2 linked regions of the Oryctolagus cuniculus genome follow. The protein of the gene in region 1 interacts with the protein of each later gene in a biochemical or structural test. Links are inferred from orthologs where the notes say so. Each region holds a gene or a part of one and is shown in the gene's direction. Other genes may lie near its edges. The genes, in order: DCN and TGFB1.

Region 1 (3,812 bases):
GCAAAATAAACAGGATACTTACTATAATCACCAAGATCAATTTCATATTTTTGAACACCATATTAATTTTATAGCTTATGAATAAGGTTTTCTATTTCAAAATCAGTTTTTAATGAATATGTTCATTGAATATATTCTAGTTTATTAATGTCAAACAGAGGATTAAGTAAATTCAGTGTCCTGAATTTGCAAATGCATCAGAATGAAAGCTACTAGGACGTGGAAATATCAGACTTCTGACAGATCCCTATTAAAAAACTTGTGATGAGATTTCCGAATCCTTTATTCTCTGGAGAGTTTAAAAGAAAATAAAATGGATCTGTACACTAAATATTTTTTTTCTCTTTCTGTCCATTGTTAAAATTTTTCTTCATAAATGATAACTTGTGCCTGTCCTGATTTCTAACAACCGCAGTCTCTGTATTCACAATCTGGTTAAGTAATAAGGAAGGAAAGCACTGGGAAACTTTCTCAGCTGTATTCAAGAAGTACTCTGTTCTCAATCCACGTATTTTGCTAAATGTTCCAATAGAAAAGCACAGTATTATGCCACATTGACTCTCTTGTCTTTTTGTATATAAACTCCGTGTTGATGAATAAAAACGCAGCACATCCTTGTATCTTTGAGAAATGCCTATGAGCAAATCGATGCAGAACACAGTTTTCCTCATTTCCATGGCTATTTCCCAATGATTCCGTGCATGAAGAAAACTGAAGAGGACCATACGCATGTTACTGTAGCTAAAATATATTATCCTGGTGTCCCAAATAGTAAGAACTGCTTCATCTAGAGCTATTTTAATTACAGTCTCTAAGGATGAAAACATTTTTCACAATGACATATGCATCACCTGCACCCCTTTATTGATTAGATCCCTCTAGTTGCTGAAAAATGTAGGCAGATAAGTTGTGTTGTTTTCTGTGTAAATTTGTCTTTATGATGGTTACTGTTATTGAATTATTATTATAAGTGGTTACAGCAGTAGTAGGAATAAATAATATTCTGAAGTGATAAATAGACTATATTCTAAATTATTCATAATGGATGTCTTTTTGAAAGTTCATATTTGAAAGTGGTAAGGAGGTCATGAGATTCTGTACCTCAGTAATGATATGTCATATGCTTTGTATCAGATGGAAGTGTAGAGAGCTAATATATGCTGAAAAGCCTAATGGAAGTTCAAATTTCTCTTTAAATGGACTTTGGATTCCATGTGTTAAATTAGAGCACATTACTGCATTGGTCAGGCAAATTTCCACAGTTCTTTAGTTTATCATGCACATTGCTTTTAGAATCAAATCCATCCAGAAACATCTATATATTAAACCACTAAATATTTTTGGTTTTTACTCCTCATTGACACTGGAACATGAGAAGAACTTTGATGCTGAAAATGAAAATTGTAAAATGAAAGAATCAGCCACCGATATCAAAACATTGTTTCATAGAAAGTGTTCCAATTTGTTATTGAGAAAAACAAGTCAGGAGAAAATAGTGAATACCTCCATCACAAAGAAAAAAATTCCTTACTGAATATACAATAGGTAGCTGAGTAAAGGAATATTTTCCTTGAATTAATTATTAGATATTTTAAAACAAACATGCCAGTCCACACTGAGACTTGAAATACTGTGAAGAATAGGAAATACAATTTGAAATAGAAAAATGAAAACTCAGAAACAAGAGGTGAACATTCAAGATGGGAAAAAACCAAAATTTTCTGAGTCAAGATGTCAAGTTAATAAGCAAAAGCTGAGATAAACTAATGATACTATCAATTCCAATTGTTTCAAAAAGCAAAACATGATTAAAATTGGGCAACTCTACTTACCTAAGTCGACATCCAAATCTCTACAGAGTCCATTGATCATACATAGCTTAAATTTAGGAAAATATATCTTATGGTGTGCAGATACTATCCCTTTTATTGAAAAGAATCCGATAGATTCTTCCTCTCTCTCTGTCTCTCCTTGTAATATTCTGGCTCTGTTCCATTATCTCCTTGCCCCATTCCTGGCAGCCCTATCTGTCTGGTGAATTGACATCATGCTATTCTTGAAGATTTCATTTATACAATGTCGAATAGTCTAGCAATATCCCCATGTCAACTTTTGTGCCTGAATTCCCATTTACAAGAAGGGGATGTCACAGCAGCAAAAACCTCATCTATTACACCTTTAACTTAAAAGATATGAGCCAAAACCTTGATTGAATCAAACCTGCAGGGTATATATGTGGGGCGGAGAGATATCTAACTCAGTACCTAGGAATGCTGGGGCCAGGAAAGCTCTGAGAGACAGAGGACCACTGAGGAATGTTCTGCACCTCTTATTTCCAATGAATAAATTTTTAAGATATATGATTGCTTATTTTCAAAGTGACCAAAACAATACACTACTTCTTTAGGTTCTCTCTTAGATGAGTTTGCTATATTCATTATACATGTAAACCAATTCAACATCTATTTATGGGACATGACAAATTCTGAGTTAATACCACAGATAACATAGAGTAATCATTATTACAAGGACAGGGACACACATTGGAGTACCTGGGTTCAATTCCCAACTCCAGCTCCTGATCCAGCTTCTTGCTAATCCAGACTCTGAGACAGCAGTGATAGTTCAAGTAATTGGGCTTCTGCTACCCACATGGATGTGCTGGCTTGTGTTCCAGCTCTCAGCTTTAGTCCCTGTTAAGTGCCAGCCACTGTGGGTATTTGGGGAATGATTAAATGGATTATAGGATCATAGAGTGTTCTCTCTCTCTCTACCTCTCTCTCTCTCTCTGCCTCTCAAATAAGCAAATAAATTTTTATAAAGATTTATTTTTATTTATTTGAAAGACAGAGTTATATAGAGTTAGAGCCAGAGAGCGAGAGAGGTTTCCATCCGCCGATTTACTCCCCAAATGGCCCCAATGGCAAGAGCTGAGCTGATCAGGAGCTTCTTCTGGGTCTCCCACATGGGTGGAGGGGCCCAAGAACTTGGGCCATCTTCTACTGTTTTTCCAGGTCACAACAGAGAGCTAGATTGGAAGTGGAGCAGCTGGGACTGGAATCAGCACCATATGGGATGCTGGCACTGCAGGCTAGGGCTTTAATCTGCTGTGCCACAGCACCGGCCCCTGCATATAAAATTTTAAAAAGCACAATCCTCCAAGTTTTATTAGAGGTTGGCCATTCAAGGTTATAGAGTACTAGTACAAGAACTCATGTTTTTGTCAGAGATATGTCAAAGAAAGTAACTTTGAACTGAAACCTTAAGAATAAATGGCTTTGTATAGGCTTTAAAAAGGTGGGAAAAAGCAGTCTAAGCACAAGGAATGATAGGAGCCAAGTCAAGCTCAGCCTTTTCTATCAACTTAATTATTGACACAACACATGTAAGAAAGGCACCCATATGTGGTGTACAGATTCATTTCTGCTTTCCGTTGCAGGTTGGGTCTGAGTTTCAATGACATCTCTGCTGTGGACAATGGTTCTCTGGCCAATGCCCCTCATCTGCGAGAGCTTCACTTGGACAACAACAAACTTATCCGAGTACCTGGTGGTCTGGCAGATCATAAATACATTCAGGTAATACAACACCACTGCTTCCTATGAGGGATAACTTAGAGTAAACGCTCCCTACGCTTATGCTAAGAGTCAGGAAGCACTACTTAGAAATGTTGCTTGCAGAATGTCTTAGCTAGAGCTCTCATAACAAAATAGCATAAATTGAGTGTCTTAAACAACAAAAATTTATCTCTCATCATAATGGAAGCTGAGTATCTGAGATCATGGTGGAGGACTGGTAAGGTTCTGTCAAGA
Region 2 (3,849 bases), on another chromosome or scaffold:
TGCTGCACGGGGACACCATCTACAGCGGGGCTGACCGCTACCGCCTGCACACAGCCGCGGGTGGCACTGTGCACCTGGAGCTTGGCCTGCTGCTGCGCCACTTCGACCGCTACGGTGTTGAGTGCTGAGGCTCTGCCCGAGCTGTCACCGGCATCCACACCCCTGCGCGGCCAGCGAGGGTCAGGATGGCGCGGAGGTCAGCATCGGGGGCCCCAGAGACTTGTCTGCAGCCAAGGCATGGGACGACTTCGGTCCTTGCCAGGACCTCCAGGCCTGTAACTGCCCCTTGCTGCCCAGTTTCTGTCTCTGTAAAATGGGGCAGGAAGGATGCCAGCACCCGGGGGTTGGGTGAGAAGGGGCTACTTAGCACCCGGGCAGGGTTCAATAAAGGTGGGTGCAACTTATAGGTACCAGTGCCTTCGTGACCCCCTTCTTGTGCCCCCCTCACCTGCTGCCCTCTTTCCTCGGGCCCCCATCCTGTGCCCTAGCCCCTCACCCTTCCAGTTCTGAGACACCCCTCGCCCTAGTCCCCCCCTCCCAGTGTCCCCTCCCTGCCAGGTCTCTCACCGCGCATGGCCCCACTGTGATGGTGCATCTCAGGCACCGCTTTGGTAGCACTCAGCCGCCAGGAGGCAGCACCCCTTTCCCGTTCGCGGGGCGGAGCCGGGTGCCCGCCCCCCCAGGGCAGAAGGGACCCCCCTCGGAGCCCGCCCACTCGAGATCAGGACGGTGGCCCGCCCGTCCGCTCGCCCGCCCTGCCCCCTGGAGGCTTCCCCCGCCCCACGCGCTTCCTGGGTGGGGCCGGGGCGGCTTCAAAACCCCCCGCCGCCCTGGCCGGTCCCCGCCGACGCCGCCCTTCGCGCCCCGGTCCGTCCCCCTCCCTCCTCCCGCCGCGGATCCGCCAGACAGCGAGGCCCCCGACCGGGGGCAGGGGGGACGCCCCCTCCGGGGCACCCCCCCGGCTCGGAGCTGCCCGCGGGCAGAGCCTGGGCCCCGAGCGCAGCTGAGCGGAGGAAGGAGCCGCCGAGGAGCAGCCCGAGGCCACAGTCTGAGAAGAGCCGCCCCCGCCGCCGCCGCCGCCGCCGCCGCCGCCGCCGCCGCCGCCACTGCGGGGAGGAGGGGGAGGAGGAGCGGGAGGAGGGACGAGCTGGTTGGGAGAAGAGGAAAAAAGTTTTGAGACTTTTCCGCTGCGGCTGGGAGCCGGAGGCTCGGGGACCGCTTGGCGCGGCGCTGGCCCAGGGGGAGGCAGGACTTGGGGACCCCAGGCCGCCCCTTTCCTCACCGCCTCGGACGCTTGCTCCCTCGCTGCCTCCTACACAGCGACCCCCGTTCCGGACCAGCCCTCCGAGCCTCGGACCCTTTCTCCCGCGAAGGCTTTGCCCCAGCCTCAGGCTCACCTTCTGCCCGTCTCCTGAACCCCGAGCATCCTAGGACCTTCCCTCCTCTGGGGACGGGTCTCAGCCCTGCTCCAGCTCCCCTACTCAAGACCACCCACCTTCTGGTAGTAGAACTCGCCTGTCTCCGTTTCTTTCGTGGGATACCGAGACACCCTGGCCACAGCCTCCCCTCCACCCCTGCTTCTGTCTTCCTGAGGGCCTCAACTTTTCCCTGAGACCCTCCTCCCTTACCCCGGGAGACCCTCAGCCCCTTCAGGGGCGGGGCCTCCCCATCCCACCCCAGCCCTGTTCGCGCTCTCGGCAGTGCCGGGGTGCGCCGCCTCCCCCATGCCGCCCTCCGGGCTACGGCTGCTTCTGCCGCTGCTGCTGCTGCCGCTGCTGTGGCTCCTAGTGTTGACGCCCGGCCGGCCGGCCGCGGGACTGTCCACCTGCAAGACCATCGACATGGAGCTGGTGAAGCGGAAGCGCATCGAGGCCATCCGCGGCCAGATCCTGTCCAAACTGCGGCTCGCCAGTCCCCCGAGCCAGGGGGAGGTGCCGCCCGGTCCGCTTCCCGAGGCCGTGCTCGCCCTGTACAACAGCACCCGCGACCGGGTGGCCGGGGAGAGCGCCGAGCCGGAGCCGGAGCCCGAGGCCGACTACTACGCCAAGGAGGTCACCCGCGTGCTAATGGTGGACAGCAACAACAGTGAGCTCCGAGGGACGGGGACCCGGGAGGGGGCCCCCAGGGGGCGCCGGAGCGCAGGGGTCAGGGAGGAAATTACCCGCGGAGGACACAGCGGGAGGAAGGGGACCCCTGGGTGCACAGGGAACGTGGGGGAGGGCGTGTCCTAAAGACGAGGGCGCTGAGCTCCCCGACCCTCAGGGACTGGTCCTGGAACAGTGCGCCAAGTGCACGGGACCCGCGGGGGCGAGGGAGGTCCCGGGGGACACAGGCAATGGGGTAGAAGCCGTTCCCTCCGCAGGGCCCGTGGAATGCGGGGGTCGCGGGGTGGGAGCTGCAGAGAGGGGTGCTCTGTGGGTAGAGGCTGAGCCCCTAGTTTGTGGGTAAGGGAGCCAATGAGAAAGCTGGGCAGAATTGGGGGTCACGAAACAGAAAGACGGAAGGAGCAAAAGCGAACAGCAGCAAAGTGCCAGGAGCGTGGACCTGCTTCCAGGGCGCACAGGACACGCAGGACTGCAGGGGTCGTGGCAAAGAGGCGGTGGTCTGCGTGACGGGTGCGGGCATGGGACGCGAGGCCGGCGGTGGGAGGAGGAGGCTGACGGGAGAGGAGCGGAGACCCGGAGCGCGTGCCCAGGGTGCGTGCAGAGGGTCGCGCGTGCTTGCAGCCGGAGTGAAGGCACAGAGCAGGGAATCCCAGGAACCAGGACTCCTGAGTCGGGGAAGGGGCTTCCGGAGAGGGGAGGGGCGTGGGAAAGGTGTGTTGGGATGGGGCAGAGGGGAGGTGGCGGTGCTCTGGGCGCTGAGCCGCGAAACCCGCTCGCTGTGGGATGGGAGGGGCCGGACGAGGAGTGGAGCGGTTGGGGGGAGGTCTGGGCGGGGGCGCCCGTGCGAGGCCCAGGTGAAAAAAGTGAGCAGGTGGGGGTGAGGCTGCCCCACATGGGTGCCACGCGCGGCGGGGAGGAGCTCGCTTTTCCCGAAGAGGAAGGAGGACCCCGCAGGGCTGAAGGCCGGCACTGCGGACCCCGGAGTTGCAGTTCCTCCGGGGAGGCTGGGGAAACCCCAGCGTCCGGCCGCCACCCCTCCTCCCTTCCCTTTCCTTCCCGTGGCCCGGGGGCGGGGATCGCGCGCGGAGCCTGGGGCGAGACGAGGCAGGTCTGTCTCCGCCCTCGCGGCAGCGGCGCGTCCCGCCCCTCTCCCCCCAGCTGTGGGAGGGGTGCCTGTGGGCCCGCCCCGTCGGCGCCCACGCGGGGACCCAGGCTGCCTCGTGGCCTGGGGACTTGGGGTGAATCCCCAGGTTTCACTTTATGTCCTGTGCGGTGGGCTTGGGGGTCCCTGGCTCGCGCCCGCGCCTGATGTGCAGCTGTAGTCCAAAGGCGCCCCTTCCCCACCCACTGGTCCATCTGGCCTCGCTTCCGCTTTCTCCTTCGCCCGCGGTGTGAATTAGTTCACTGAGTTTCTCCTGAGGAGGCCACGTCCTCTTCCCTAAACTCGCGTGTCTCCGCGGGTGTGTCCATCGTGGCCCTCCTATTCCTGTGTGAGCCTCCTTCCCCGGTCTGTCTCTCTCCCTCAGCCCCCTCCCGGCACCCTCCAGCCCTGCCTGGACTTCTCACTTCCTATCCCTCACCCCAGCCTCGCTCTGCCCTTCTCCTGGGGTTTGCTGAGTAACAGCTGGCCAAGAGCAGGCTTATTTGGGGGTGGAGGGGGGAGCAAGGGAAGTGACTCCCTCTGTTTCACAAAATCACTCTAGGGGTCCCAGAGCAGGTGACCCACTGCATGGCCTGCCCCTTC

The links.
Region 2: the proteins of DCN (region 1) and TGFB1 form a complex in vitro, tested with the Homo sapiens proteins (3 studies listed by BioGRID). The link is inferred for Oryctolagus cuniculus from reciprocal best matches to the Homo sapiens genes DCN and TGFB1.

The regions. Positions count from the first base shown.
Region 1 is NC_091442.1:93,983,938-93,987,749, reverse strand, and holds part of DCN (decorin precursor), read left to right. Parts: intron 1-3,439; coding exon 3,440-3,578; intron 3,579-3,812. UniProt on the Homo sapiens protein: May affect the rate of fibrils formation.
Region 2 is NC_091449.1:13,277,953-13,281,801, forward strand, and holds the start of TGFB1 (transforming growth factor beta-1 proprotein), read left to right. Parts: upstream 1-797; 5' UTR 798-1,724; coding exon 1,725-2,085; intron 2,086-3,849. Other genes in the region: B9D2 (B9 domain-containing protein 2), read left to right, coding at 1-128. UniProt on the Homo sapiens protein: Transforming growth factor beta-1 proprotein: Precursor of the Latency-associated peptide (LAP) and Transforming growth factor beta-1 (TGF-beta-1) chains, which constitute the regulatory and active subunit of TGF-beta-1, respectively.